2 linked regions of the Canis lupus familiaris genome follow. The protein of the gene in region 2 interacts with the protein of the main gene of each other region in a pairwise test. Links are inferred from orthologs where the notes say so. Each region holds a gene or a part of one and is shown on either strand. Other genes may lie near its edges.

Region 1 (7,360 bases), on a different chromosome or scaffold from region 2:
ATTACAATTAATAGGGAAATCAGAATTTAAACCCAGGGCATTTATTCCAACACCTGCTTCTGTACCACCTCACTCCTCAGAAGGGTTTAACGTAGGCAGGTTAAGAAATTTGCCCAAAGTCACAAGAAAACTGGAGAGGGAGAGGTCTTTTAGTACTTCACCCTACTTTTCCTAAACGTAATTGGAATCATTAAATCCAGATGGGGCAAAGTGGTTTGGGATGTAGATTGTTCTTTAAAGTGGAGTATGAGCAGGTGAGAAACACTGGCAGGAAGAAGGAATCCCATCAAGTTAGAGAAGACTTATCCTCCACAGACTGGAGTCAGAAGAAAAATAAAATGTGAGCAGAAACTGTATTTGCCATTCTGATATAGGGAGTATGAAGCAGGGTAGATGAAGAGGGATAACACTAATTAAGAAAATCAGTAGAAGTGAAGCATGAGACTGATTTGTTTTGAAAGAAAATTTAAAGCCACTAAGAGATTTGGGACAGGTGGTATAACGCCTCCAAAAGAACTACTACCTACTCTCGCCAAAAGTACCTAGTGTAGGGAAAGAAAACATATAAGCCCTGACAGAATTATACACTTTTTTTTTCTTTTTTAAAAACTAAAATGTCATTTACAGTTTAGCAACTCATTTTGACTGTTAAAAACCTTCCTGTGGAGAGAAGAGGGATAGGGGAGTGTAATCAAGGATGACGTGCTTCTCATTAGTTCTCAAGCTGTGAAGCTATGGTACTGGTTACTTTAGCACATAGATGTCCCTAGGAAGACCGTTAAAATCAGATGAAGGAAATCACAACAAAATCTCTCTGATTCAAATAAATGAACTGAAATGCCAATCTAAACCTCAAGCATATGTTAAAAGTAGAATCTGTAACAGAGAGAGGAAAAGTTTTTAAAAAATCATGGCAGAGACCAAACACAAGGATCCTAGGAAGCAGCACTTTTTAGAAGACAAATTGAAATGAGGCAAACTAACCCTAATAGAATTTCCTCTCTCATTACTTAAAATAAACCAGGTCACTAAAATGGCTTATATTGTGGCATTTTGTTCATTTTAATTCCATTTAAATTCCATTAAACCATAAATTCCCATGGAAATACATTAGACACGTGCTCACAATAATTAGAATGCCTAACATTTCAGTGTAAGTACTTTTGCATGCGTTCAACAAAAGAATGCAGTGAGGCCCCTTCAAGGTTTGTTTTTTTTTCTTTTTTTTGGTTTTTTTTTTTTTTTTTTTTTTGCGTATGTCAACAGCTATTTTATGATAGGAATTATCTCCGTGGCTATAAAGCATGTGTAAAATACATTACAGGAGTCGGCGAGAAGCCTTAATGCGGAAGACCCAGTATAGGTCTGGACTGCACACACGGAAACCTCAAAATCAAGCTGAACTTCCTAGAATATAGCAATGATAAATTTTTTCCTCCCAAAGCTATTACTGTTAAATATACCTTGATAAATTAAGTTCAAGTGTAACTACAATTGAAATATGATTCAACTGAGCTATGACCTATTTTTCCTCTTAAAAGCAAAAGAGAATAATGACAGTTGTGAGACATTTTTCCATTCCAGGGTATTTCTGAAAGTTGTTTCACAGCAGAGCTAAAAGCAAGACGCACTAAGGGACAACTTATTTGCTGTAAAATAGTTACATATGCTGCTGCTCACAGGACAGTTGGAATGATTTAATAATTTGTTGTTAAAATTCTATGTCTTCACTTAACTTTTAAACTATACATACCAAGAGGCATTCAAGAAGGAAGTAACTGCAAAAATGTAAGAGGACACCTAAGTCTACAGTTCAATTATAACTATATATTTACAGACAACAGAACAATCAACATGACAAATACATAATTAACATATACTGTATTATGTGGTTGAAAATACCCACCCCTAGCAGAAAGCTTTTTGGTGTTGATAATTTTGGCAGCATATTCTTGTCCAGTAGGGATTTTCATACATCTTCTCACCACTGAGAAAGCCCCCCTGAAAACCAATAATTAGCATGTCATCAATATAATCAGCTCTGATATCCTATTAAAAATCACAGCAATCTGAGCATTTTTACTGCATTTAGTGATTTGTAAAATATCAATGCGCTACAGTAATATCAGAAAATGAACGATTCTTCCTGGGAACCCAAGCCTTCTTTAATGTTGAAGAATAAAAGTAAATTTTATTTAACTGGGAGCACACATTATTAATCAACATAATGAAAGAAACTGCCAATTATGACGGCTCTTGTTTGCCCAGGAAATTTGAAAACATTTTACAATTCACACTCACATAGTACCAAATGCTCTGAGAAGGGAAAAAAAAAAAAAAAAAAACCTGCAAAGAGCATGGCTGAGGAGGAGCAGCAAAAATCTGCTGCCTATTTATTAGAAAAAAAAAATTAATGTGGCTCCAAGTAAATATGGCGATTGTTTTCACTAAAATAGAAATCTTGGGAACATTTGTGTGGTTTAATAAGTCCTGATACGGTGATTTCTCTGTGCCCTCTTTTGAGCTGGGGGAAGGGTGAGATTTGAATTAAGCTGCTCTTCCGACATAGTCTCCATGTTTTAACAGCAGACAACATATAAATATGTAAGGATATACTTGTCATTACGTTTAAAAGATAATTACAGTTTCTTGAATTCAATTGTATAAAACATACATACATACATACACATAAACGCACCCCTTTCGTAAGTAATAGTCGGCACTAGCGATAGAGGAATAGGGTTTGGGTGGGATGCTACATAAACCAACATTCACGGTTTGGCCCCTGGGTCCCTAAGCACACAGGTCCTCAGGAGGTCTCTGGTCCCCTTCCTTAAATTCTCCGAGGAGTTCCGCCAGTCGGGGCGTGGGAGGTCGTTTTTATAGGACGCTAGGCTACCCTTGGCAAGCTTTCTCTCGGTCTCCAGGTCTTTTCCGTCGCCTGTATAAATAAATCCTCCCAGAGAATGCGAAGATGTACACGTAAATCCTAGGAAGGATGATGATGAGCGAATAATCTAGGTGCAAAGGGTAGTGGATATGGGGCAGGGGGTCGAGTTCCTTTGGTGACCCTCTTCCTGGACAGAACAACTACTGGACGTGAAATAGACTCCACGCCAAGTTGAACTTTCGGCATCAATAAATATGGCACCGTCTGTGGCAGGGAGTTCTCGTTCGTACGTGGGTCGTACGGGCGACACGCCGGCTAACCAGGAGGCATCTCTATTTACAGAAAACACGATCTATGTTGCATTTTACACGGGTTCTTGTTTTCTCTCCACACACACACACACACACACGCACGCTCGCACACTTCTCAGGATGACAGCTACAACTGCAGGGATCGTAAATCCACTAAGTCTCTAGTGCAAGAGGGTTGGGGTGGGGGGGGGTGGGCGGGAGAAGGTGGGTTGAGGATTATCGGAATGGGCCACACAAGCGGGGTGGAGGGTCTTTTCCAGTCTCGGTCCCCCTCCTCTTGCTAGAGCAGCACCTTGCTCAGAGCCGGCCACGCCACTGGCCCTCCTCCCACTCCTCGGGTCTCCCCAGCTCCCTCGCCCCGCGCGGGAGGCCGGTGGGTCGGGGAACGCTACCCGCCCCTCTGCTGGGAAGGGGACGTGCGGACGCGGGCAAAGGCGCTTACTTTCCGAGCTCCTCGAAAAGCTGATACTCGTCCGTGAACCTGGTGCAGGTTGCGGTCGAAGCCATCCTCTCGGTGCGGGCTATGCCCCTGGCTGGGAGAGCCGGCGGACGCGACTCCAACAGACGCGCGGCTTCCCCGGGACTGGCCCCGCGGCGCTGCCACCCAGGGCCGCCCTCACTTTCCTCGTCCGAAAGTAGCTCGCCCGGGAGGGAGTGTGCGCAGGGGCGGGGCGCGAGGGGAGATGACCAGAAAGGGTGGCGTGGGGTCTCCTCCCCACGGCCCGCCGATTCTCCTCCTCCTCCTCCTCCTCCTCCTCCTCCGGCCCGTGCTTCCTTCTCCGCGGGACGCTCCACCCGCCCCTTCCCAGCCCCTCTCCCCCAAATGCCGGGGGCGAAGTACTCGGGAAGAAGGGGCCGGGAAATGGAAAACAGCCGGGCACGGGGCGAGAGGCGAGCAGTTGCGAAACTAGCCGCACCGGGCTGGAGGGGAGGGAGCCCGAGGGGGCGGAGGCCGAGGAGCCGGGAGCGGACAGCGCGAGCCCAGCTGCAGCTGTCAGCGGGCGCGGGGGGCGCGGGGCGCGGGGCGCGGGGCGCGGGGGGCGCGGGGGGCGCGGGGCGCGCCGGGGCTCGGCCGAGCGTGCGCGCCCGGGGCCCGCCTGCCTCCCGCGGGCGCCTCGGCTGCCTGGCGCTGCCCCTGGGGCCCGCGCCGCTCCGCTGCGAGGCTGCGCGGCTGCGCGGCGAGAGGAAGAGCGCTCGGATGGGGCGAAGCCCGGGCGGCCCTCCGCGGGCCTGGGCCTCCGCCTCCTCCCCTCGCCTCCCCTCCCCTCCCCCGCGCTCCCTCCGCGGAGCCCCCTCCTCGCCGGTCCCACACCTCCCTCTAGCGACTCCCAGCCCGGCGCCTTCGCGGACCTCGCTCTCCGCCCCGGGTCTCACGCTCGCGCACACCCGTCGGGGGGCCGGGGGGGGCGGGGGGGGCGGAGGATGTACGAACGAGCAGCCCGGCGAGGGTTTAGGCGAGTGAGGCGACACGGCGAGCCGCCCAGGTGACCTCGCGGTCAGGCGGCTGCCGACACTGGGGCTGGATGCGGCGGAACGACGCGGGGCGAGCCGCGGGCCGGCCGGGGGGTGCCCCCGGGGGGAGGGCGACGTGCGCGGCCGCGGCCGCGTCCGCTCGGCTCCGCTCGGGGTCGACACCGCGGGGGCCGGAGGTGGGCAGTCGGCCGCGTCCCGCCCGGGGTCCCGGCCTCCCACAGCCCCCGGGGACTCCGGGCCCGGCCTGCAGAAGCCGCGCCGCCGCCCGCAGCCGGCTTAGCGAGGGGCGCTGCCCGCCGTGCGCCACGTTTCACGTGTGAGGCGACTGCACCTCACTGCCCACGTGCCCCCGCGCCGTTTTCCAGGCCGGGTCGCTCAAACTCTTGACAGACAACCCCCGCCCCAGGCCTTCGCTTCAGCCTTTGCCGAAGGCTAGAATGAAAGCAAACACTCCCCGAGCGAGCGAGGAGCGAGCCACACCCTCCCTTCAGAGTAACTCCCGCGTAAGCTCAGGAAGTTCTGATAGTAAGGCGGCTTCTCGCGAGATCTCCGGCCCGGGCGGCGGGGGCGGGGGCCGGGGGCGGGGGCGGGGGCGGCTGCTGGGCAGGTTGGGTGTCGGTCACGCGACCTGGCTGGGGCTGACGTCACTCGCATCACGTGAACACGTTCCGGCCCGTTTCGTTTTGCAAAGGGAAGAAAGAGAAGTCTAGCGGCCGGGCGTGTTCTGCTCGCATGACCGAAGACCTGGCTAGGCAGTGACCCGGAAGTACGCTTCGTAAGCGACTTAACGGTTCAAGAGTGTGTCCTTAGCATTAGCAGACAGTAAATAGGAGGAAAAAAGTAGATTTAAAATAAATCGCTGATCGCTGAAACAACCCCTGGCCCTCCCTTCTGTCTTTAATAAACTATGCATCTGCAATTTTGAAGGCAGAACAAAACGGTTTTGAACGGTCTTTCCAAATTGCTGTCCTTTGTTTTACAGCAGGGGACCCTAAAAACCTCGTAGTTCTGGCTGATTTGTTCATGATTAGCATCACATCATGGACTCAGATTTCCGCAGCTGGAAGATAAAGGATAACTTGGATATACAGTCTAATGTAGAGGAATTGTTGCCATCTCCCAAGGGCTGCTTGTCCGTAGTCACACATTTCCTCATCTGGGGAATGATCTCCTGCCAAGAAGCAGAGCTTTTACTGAGGTTTTCAAAGTATTTACCAATTCCAACCACTGTAACAAAATGGAACCTTGTGCCTATTTTTATTCCTAGCCATAAAAAGCAAATAGAACATTGTGTAAAATGTAATGATACAAGATGATACCAAAGGCTGTATAAAGAAAAACAGGTCTAAATATTAATAATTGAGCCATAAAATTGGAAAAAAAAGATTTCGTCTGCTAAAGATTTTTAACATTGTGTCTTAAATATCTAGCAACATGGTTCCAAGTTATAATGCAATAATGTAACATTCTCTGAATCTGAAAATGAAGCAGAGTGAGTATAATTAAAACAATAAATAAAGATAATATAAAATTTTACAACTCCGGGGAGGAAAAAAATTTTTGAATATTCAAGTAATTAGGTCTACATAATTACAGTATTTATCTCAGTTATTTAAACTAGCAATAATTGTGAGTGGTTATGATGATTGTATGATACAATGAAACAAGAGTTTCAATATTGATGTATTATTAGACAATAAATGTGTATTTTAAACACTGCTTACTCAATATTTGTGCTGTTTCCTGATTAATATCTTAGACTGATTAAAATATTTCTCTTATTCAAAGATTGACAGTTATTTCTGAAGTTTGGGCTTTCTTAAAACAGTGATTTTTTTTTTTTTTTTTAATGTTTACAAGACAGTAATCCTTCTAAAGTTACACAGAAATCCCATTTGGATTATAATCTTCTTGCCTTCTTCCTGGTCTCCTGTGTCTGCCCTTACCCCTTTTCATTCTAGTCTAGCCATGGCAGGCATAATGGTCCCCTTAAAACCTCAGTCAGAACAAATCATGCCTTTGCTCAAAAACTTCTGAAGTCTTAGTAACTCAATTAGATTAAAAAGCAAAATTCCAAAAATGGCTAACAAGGCCTTCACGGGTCTGCCCTCCATCCCTACTCCATTCGTCTTCTTACCCTCAGTTTGTACCCTGGCTCATTCTACTCCAGCCGCATTGGCCTCTGCTGTTCTGGAGCATGACTTGGCATGCTCCTGATTAGGGACTTCACATGTACTATTCTCTCTTTCCTGGAATATTCATTTCTCCTATTGCATTTTTTTACCTCCTTCTAGTATTTTCTCAAATATCACCTCATCAATGCAGCTTTACCTGGCCACTCTATCAATTACTGCCCATTTTTCAGACATGATTTCTATTTGCACTGCCTGCTTTATTGTTCCCCTTAATATCTATTACCATCTAGTATACTATAAATGTTTTCCCTGTTAATTGTTTACTTCCCAACTAAAATATAAGTTCCCCAAGGGCATGCGTTATTGTCTGTTTTGTTTACTACTCTATTTCCAGCAACTGGAATAGTACCTGGACATAATAGCTGCTCAATGAATTTTATTGAATGGGCAAATTAATTATTTTGGAATTTAAATGATCTAATTGCAATTTTTATATGAAAGTTGTTGGGCAGCCCAGGTGGCTCAGCGGTTAGCGCTGCCTTTGGCCCAGG
Region 2 (7,538 bases):
GAGATTGAGCCCTGCAACAGGCTCTGCATTGGACATGGAGCCTGTTTAAATTTCTCTCTCTCTCTCCCCCTTCCCCCCAATCCTCTGCTTGTGTGCACTCTTAAGGGGAAAAAAAGATATTATATATAAATACACATACAAAGAAACACAGTAGGAAAAACGTACACCAAATATTGGCAAGTGTTTCATCTGGTTGGTGGGATTACAGGAGGTTTTTAGTTCTTTTTTAAAAAGATTTTATTTATTTATTCATGAGACACAGGCAGAGGGAGAAGCAGGCCCCATACAGGGAGGAGGTTTTTAGTTATGTTTTTCTATGCTTTCCTTTTTTTTTTTTTTTAGATTTTATTTATTTATTCATGAGAGACACACAGAGAGAGAGAGAGAGAGAGAGAGAGGCAGAGACACAGGCAGAGGGAGAAGCAGGCTCCAAGCAGGGAACCCGACGTGGGACTCGATCCCGGAGCTCCGGGATCATGCCCCGAGCCAAAGACAGACACTCAACCACTGAGCCACCCGGGCATCCTGTTTTTCTATGCTTTCCAAATCTCAGTGTAAAGTGAAGTGCCTAGCACCTAACAGATGCTCAGTAAATGTGAATCCCATTCCTGCCCCATCTCCTCCTCTCTGAGAAGACAGGAATCCTTGATGTTCTGGATAATGAGGAAAACAAAGGCCAGGGACTTCCCAAAGACCTCCCCCAACTTGGGCAGGTACCTACTGAAGCTTTGCTTCTTCTGTGGGTCTGTGGCCATGAACTCCATCATAGTTCATGTTCAGCCAACACCTGACCCAGAATAAGGATCAGCTTAGTAGCAGGGGCTGAAGTACCCCTGGGATCTGAGGTGCTTTGTGCAGTAACTCTGCTTGGGGCTGTGACCTAGTACCTACAGCAGTCTGTTTCTGTTGAGGTGATAAGTCCCAAAAAGGTAAGAGATATTTCTTTTTTTTTTATTTTTTTATTTTTATTATTATTATTTTATTTATGATAGTCACAGAGAGAGAGAGAGAGGCAGAGACACAGGCAGAGGGAGAAGCAGGCTCCATGCACCGGGAGCCCGACGTGGGATTCGATCCTGGGTCTCCAGGATCGCGCCCTGGGCCAAAGGCAGGCGCTAAACCGCTGCGCCACTCAGGGATCCCGGTAAGAGATATTTCTGATAGAGACACAAGCAACCTCTGATGCCTTTTTTTTTTTTTTTATTTAAGATTTTATTTATTCATTCATGAGAGACACAGAGAGAGAAGCAGAGACACAGGCAGAGGGAGAAGCAGGCTCCCTAAAGGAAGCCTGATGTGGGACTCGATCCTGAGTCTGCAGGATCACACCCTGAGCCAAAGGCAGACACTCAACCACTGAGCCACCCAGGCGTCCCACCTCTGCTGCTTCTGTACATCTAAGCCTGAGCATCCATGGCTTCCACCTGTTCTCTTACCTCTGAGGAGGAGGACAACACAGGGTTTCGCATCAGAAGGCTCCAACAAGTTTAAACAGCTCCAACTCCTACCTCTGCCACCAATTCAAAACTTGGGCAAGGTGCTCTGCTTGGCTAAGCATTGGATTATACAGTATGAGAAACAGCATGAAGACCAACTTCCTTAGGGCAGCTGATGTCTGTTCACATTGGCTGCCATCAGCACTGGTCCTTTTCCCTTCAGGTCCCAAGACAGAAGTCAAGAGCGGATGACAAAAGAAATGTTTATTTAAGTTTGATCTCTTGATACTGTCATACATATGAAAATATATAATTTAAAGTCAGGGATATAACAATCAGCTTGGTGTCACCTCCCTCCCACCCTTTTGGTACAGCTTTTCCAACTGGCCTCCATTCCAGCTACTCCCTTCAAAACCCTGGAGTGTGGGGGACAGGGTCACTTCTTGGCAGCTTCTGCCTGGGCTGCCAAATCTGCCTCTTTCTGGGCAGCCAGGAATGCGGCTCGCTCTTTCTGGAAAGCTGCTAGCTCTTCTGAACTGAGGCTGCAGGTGAGAAAAGGAGATAGTGAGTGGCCAGTCACTGCTGGGAAGCTCACAAGTGCCCACACCACTGTCTCAGAGCCCTTTCTCCCTCCTTGGACTCCCCAGCCTCCATACCTTTGCTACCCCACCTCTGTCTCTACCTATGATTCCCTCCTTAAAGCTCCACCAGTCCTTTTGAGGCCCCGGCTATACCCCAATCCAGATTAACTGCCCCTTCCTCTGTGCCCCCAAACACTTTGTACAAAGAAGTCGTCAGGCTATACACATGTGCCTCCCCCCAAGCAAGGGTCAGATCGACTCACTTCTGTACTTCTAGTCAAAGTGAAGATTTGAGAAAGTCAGGTCTATCCTTGTACCACGTTTAATCCCACTTCTCTTAGGAAACAAATGTTAGCCTCAGCATGAGATGTAACATCAGCAGCAAGAGGCCCATAAAGGGCCAAGCCCCGCCCTTGCTGTTGTCTGAGCCCTCAGATGATGTATGCTCTCCCATCCAACATCTCACTTCAGAGAAATAATTCCTGAGGTCATCCCAAACCCTAGGAGGGGGCTTCCTGTTGGCCTCAGGATCAAATATGAACTTCAGATAGATGGAAACAGCCTTCAGCCTTCCCAACTGGTCCATTTGTCTCACCTCTCTTCCTATTCCCCACTCTGCTTCTAGCACCATACGCCAGAGCACACTGCATTTATTTGCTTCACTTTTTCACCTCCTGTCCTTCACAGGGATCTTCCCACTTCTTGGAATGCTTGTCCCAGTCCTTGACCTCCTTTTCCAAGTCTGTGCAGATGTCACCTCCTCTGTGAAGTCCTCATTGACACACCAGGCAAAATTAGGAGCTCTACTCTTTCCTCAAGAACCTGCAGTTCCTTTTGTCAACAATGACCATCTAGCAGCCTAATGCTCCACTTACACATCTGCCTCCAGCTCTCAACTGTGAACTCCCTAGGAGTGGGGCCAAGCATGGCTATCTCATTGTTCCTCGCTGTATCTTTTTTTTTTTAAGATTTTATTTATTTATTCATGAAAGACAAAGAGAGAGAGAGAGAGAGAGAGAGAGAGGCAGAGACACAGGCAGAGGGAGAAGCAGGTTCCATGCAGGGAGCCTGATGTGGGACTTGATACCGGGACTCCAGGATCACGCCCTGGGCCAAAGGCAGATGCTAAACCACTGAGCCACCCAGTGATTTCTTCCTCGCTGTATCTAACGTCCAGAAAAATGTCTGACACATAACAGGTACTTAATATTCATATTCCAAATGGATGAATAAGGCTGCCCACTCCCAAGAATCTAAGGTCCTTGACTCAGAAGCTGGTCCTCCCACTGTAATGGGCCCTCCTGGCTTTGCTCCAGAGTCAAGAACTTTCCAAGCCCTCCCCTCACATTGCACCTTCCCAAGACACTCACTCCTTCACCACACGAATGCCCAGGGAACGGGCAGAGCCAATGATGGAGCGAACCACAGAGGACAGGGGCACATCCTGCAGGGCGAAGGCCTCATCCTGAGCTTTAACTTGGGCGATCTCATACACATGCTTCAAGGTCACCAGGCCAGCCACCTCCTTCCCTGGGAGGAAGAAACAAGTAGACCTTGAGGTATCTCGGCTTCCTTCCAGAGCCCCCAAAATCCCGGGTACCCACCCTGACCCTTACCTGTTTGCCGGGCCCCCTTCTCAATCCCAGCAGCTGCTTTCAGGAAGTAGGAAACAGTGGGTTGTCCGATCTTGATTTCAAATGTCCTATCAGGCTTCATGGGGAAGAAAATACAGGAGAATATCTCTCTTATCTCCTCTAGGCCCTGCTGCCCCAGCCCAGAGAACTTTTAACTTCTGTTCCCCCTTCCCTTGACTCATCTTCCACTGGCGTCCATTTAACAGATCATGAAAACACGGGGAAAATAAATCTGCAGCTAACAGCTTTGTCACCTCTAGTCCAGGCTCAGCTCTGCTGTAGAAGCCCGAGTGAGATGGACAGGCAAAGGGAGGAAATGCAATATGGCAGGAAAGGCTCAGAAAAGATATGGTCTAGTCTCCACTGTGTAAATGGGGAAAGTGGGACTCGGTGATAGGAAGAGCCTCACCCAAAATTAAAAGCAGAGTAGCAACCCCAGTAACCAAGGGGAAGAAAAACAAATAGGATCATTAGGTGACGGGGATTAAGGAGTGCAATGAGCACCGCGTGTTGCATGGAACCGGTGAATCACTATATCATACACTCAAAGTTAATATAACACTGTATACCGGCTAACTGGAATAAAAATAAAAACTTAAAAGCCAAACAGGATCAAAGTCCCGACTGTGCACCTTCACAAAAATCTTGGTGGGCAAAGGAATGCCTTCTTTGATGTCCTTTGTCTTCTCGTTGAACTCCTTGCAGAACTGGTTGATGGAAACACCTCTCTGGGTGGGAAGCACGGACATTAGTGTGGGGACAAGGGGGCGGCTTCCTACCATACGGGAGATTCTATCCCTTTCCTCCTTCGTCTTCATCTCTTAAAGGTCCCATCCTCCTCTTATTAACCCAGATTCAACTAACACTTTACGCGCCAGAGGATCTGTATGCATCGTCCCTCTATCCTCCCAAGGGGCCGCTGACCAAGGACGGAGGAAGCTTAGCCTCGAACAGGCCACGGAATGAACGCAAAGACCAAAAGCGTGTGGGCAGCAAAGCCGCGCTTTGACCTTACCTTACCAAGCCGAGCCCGCACCCTCCACCCGCTCCGGGTCCCAGTACTAGGTCCCACCCCCACCACGCCTCCCGCTCCGGGTTCCAGCCGCGGGACCACCTGACCCAGGATGGGACCTAGAGGAGGCCCGGTCATGGCCTGGCCTGCCCGCACGATGGTCCGGATCACGCCGCCGGCCTCGGGCTTCCTGAGGGCCCGAGCGGCTCGGTTCAGCTTCGACATGACGCGGGGTTGCGGCCTCAGTTCAGCTCAGGATTACAGCAAAAGCGACGGCCACGGGCGCCGCCATCCTGAGTCAGAGGTCAAGGGTCCTCACGTTAGGTTTGGTCATATGACGCCAACAAAAAGCAGCGTTGTTTCGGCCTTTCTATTCTCCAACTAGTACGCCAAAGAGAGTAATATGAAGGATAAAAAAAACTTTTACCTCACGATCTGAAGATAAGGGAAGGCCTGAATGGTTCAGATACATGCATTCCTCCTGCAGAGCACATAGGCAGTACCTCGGACAGCTAAACTGGAGGAGGAGGAGGCCCTTAATGTTCGCACAGCATTGTGGGCATGGTAGTTTTGACCGCTTACGCAAATCTCGCACGTTGCTATGCTCTGGGGGGCCATCTGCTGGATGTGATTATAATCCTGGGGTTTGAAGGGAATTTAGAGCTCCTTCTCGGGCGTGAGCATCTCTAACTTTCCCAGCCTGTTTCGTCACCTGTTGTTGAAAGGCACTATGATTAAGAGTATAGACCCGGGAAGTAAGTACCCGGTTGTTCCTCTTGCTGGCTGTGAACTTGTTCAAATTACTTATGTTCACTTTCCTCCCCTGTACAAAGATTATAATATGTAGACATAGCTCTAGGGACTGTTGTGAAGATTGAGTTAGCAGTGTGTTAGGACAATGCCCGGCATCTAGTAAGCATGTGCTATTAACTGTACAACGAAGACAAAACCTTCACAGAGCTGTTGTGAGACTTATAAAAATAAGCCAGCATCTTATTATGCCTTTTTTTTTTTTTTTTTTTTTGAGCACTTGCTATATCCAGGCATGGTGCCGAGTGCTTTAAGGGCATTATTATCTCATTTAGTCCTCACAATGGCATGAGGTAAATTCTTTTATTTTACCTTTTTGACAAACGAGAATGCTGACGCACAAAAAGGAGGTCAAAAACAACTACCCTGTGTTGACAAGGCTGGGAAACCAATATTGGTATTACCGGATTCTAGACCTTGTGCCATGTACCATGACTCTACATTGCCTCATCTAGTAAAAGGAGATAATCTGTGCTAAACCACACTGTAAACTGTCATATTTTTATTATGATTTTTTTGGACTTCCACTAATTAAATGTGATTATTCCTGCCTCTGAAGTTTCTCAAGTTCTTTATAATGCTCTATCTCATTAGCCTTAGCCAGGGTCTGGAATCAAGCTGGCTCCTGATTCACTAGTTGTAAAACATTGGGCAAAATAATTAAGTTTCCTGTGCTTTGGTTTACTCACTAGCAAAACGGGGCTAGCAATAGTACTAACCTCCCAGGAAATGAGTTAATTCAGGTAAAGCACCTTGAAGAGAGCCCAGCTAGATATGATTTATCTCTGAGTGCCCCCACACTGCCCAGCCTTTATTTACACTTTTATTTTACAAATAAATACATAAATTCTTCCTAAATGAAGAAATCAGGAAACAGATTGGCATGGCAGGTGTTCTGGGAGCCTCAAAAGCAGCCTGGGACAAACTGGGCTCTGTTGTCAATTTTCACTTTATGTCAATGAAAGGATAGTCTTGATTGTCCCAGCTCTTACACATTTTGAGGAAGCAACTCCCTAGTCTAGTGTTGGAAATGTCAGAGCATTTTAGTGTTGAAAATGAGATGCAACAAGTGAGTGGGGAGTCAGATCATACAAGTCTTATCAGCCCTGTTAAGATGTGTGGCGATGCAGTAGAAATCATTGAAGAGTGTTAAGTAGTTGCATTTTGAAAGGTGACCTAGGCTTGGGTACATAGAGGGATGAGAGGAGGGCAAGGATGGATGCAGGAAGACCCATTAGGCCAGGGCAGGAAACCTGTGGAGAGATGTTGGTGGCTTGGGACCAATTCAAGAGATACTTAGAAGATAGAAATATATTTTAGTCAGAAAATGCTTGTGCAATATATACTGTGTCCACCTTTATGAAAAGTCACTTATGTAAACTTCATTATAATCCTATAAAGTATAGGTCCTGTTATTATTCCTCACTTTATAGATTAGAAAACTGAATCCCAGAGAGGTCAAGTCACTTGTCCAAACTTATGCTACTAGGATGTGAATTTGAACCCAAACCTTTGGCTCTAGTGCCTTTACTAACCACTCCCTAGACTGCCTGGCCCATCAACAGAACTTAGTGTTTGATGGGTGATTTGTCCAGGGAGAGGGAGAAAGGCATCCATGGTGATGTTCTGGATTCTGGCATGGAGGCTTTGGGTAAATGAATGATAAAGTCTTTCACTTTCATTGTTGGGACATGGGAGCTGTAGGTGGGTGAAAGATTGTGAGTTGTGTCAGAGAGTATAGTGTAAGCCTTGACAGTTGGATTATCCTCTTTGTAATATCAGTGCCTGGCTTAAGCTTTGACTGAGGAGCATCCATTTCAAGGAGACATCCATTTCAGAGATGGCTATCTAAACACATTGCCAGACACAACTCTAGATAAAAAGAGCCAGGTCACGGCCCCCTCTCCCACCTGAGGCTCCTTTGTTTTAGAGATCTTGGTAACTGAGCATTTGAACTGCTTGATTTTACTCTTTTTGTTCTTTAAATACCAACTATTCTGTCTTAAATTCACCAATAAATAGTGAGCCTGTAAAATTTTAGGTCCCCACCCTGGACCCCAATAAA

The links.
Region 1: the proteins of MRPL11 (region 2) and CAMK2D interact in binary tests that used the Homo sapiens proteins (3 or more experiments, as listed by UniProt). The two-hybrid records come from large-scale screens. The link is inferred for Canis lupus familiaris from reciprocal best matches to the Homo sapiens genes MRPL11 and CAMK2D.

What each region holds. Positions count from the first base shown.
Region 1 is NC_049253.1:6,359,628-6,366,987, reverse strand, and holds the start of CAMK2D (calcium/calmodulin-dependent protein kinase type II subunit delta), read right to left. Parts: upstream 4,198-7,360; 5' UTR 3,709-4,197; coding exon 3,644-3,708; intron 2,002-3,643; coding exon 1,907-2,001; intron 1-1,906. UniProt on the Homo sapiens protein: Calcium/calmodulin-dependent protein kinase involved in the regulation of Ca(2+) homeostatis and excitation-contraction coupling (ECC) in heart by targeting ion channels, transporters and accessory proteins involved in Ca(2+) influx into the myocyte, Ca(2+) release from the sarcoplasmic reticulum (SR), SR Ca(2+) uptake and Na(+) and K(+) channel transport.
Region 2 is NC_049239.1:51,391,074-51,398,611, reverse strand, and holds MRPL11 (39S ribosomal protein L11, mitochondrial), read right to left. Parts: upstream 4,987-7,538; 5' UTR 4,889-4,986; coding exon 4,766-4,888; intron 4,380-4,765; coding exon 4,284-4,379; intron 3,728-4,283; coding exon 3,634-3,727; intron 3,548-3,633; coding exon 3,388-3,547; intron 1,979-3,387; coding exon 1,873-1,978; 3' UTR 1,681-1,872; downstream 1-1,680.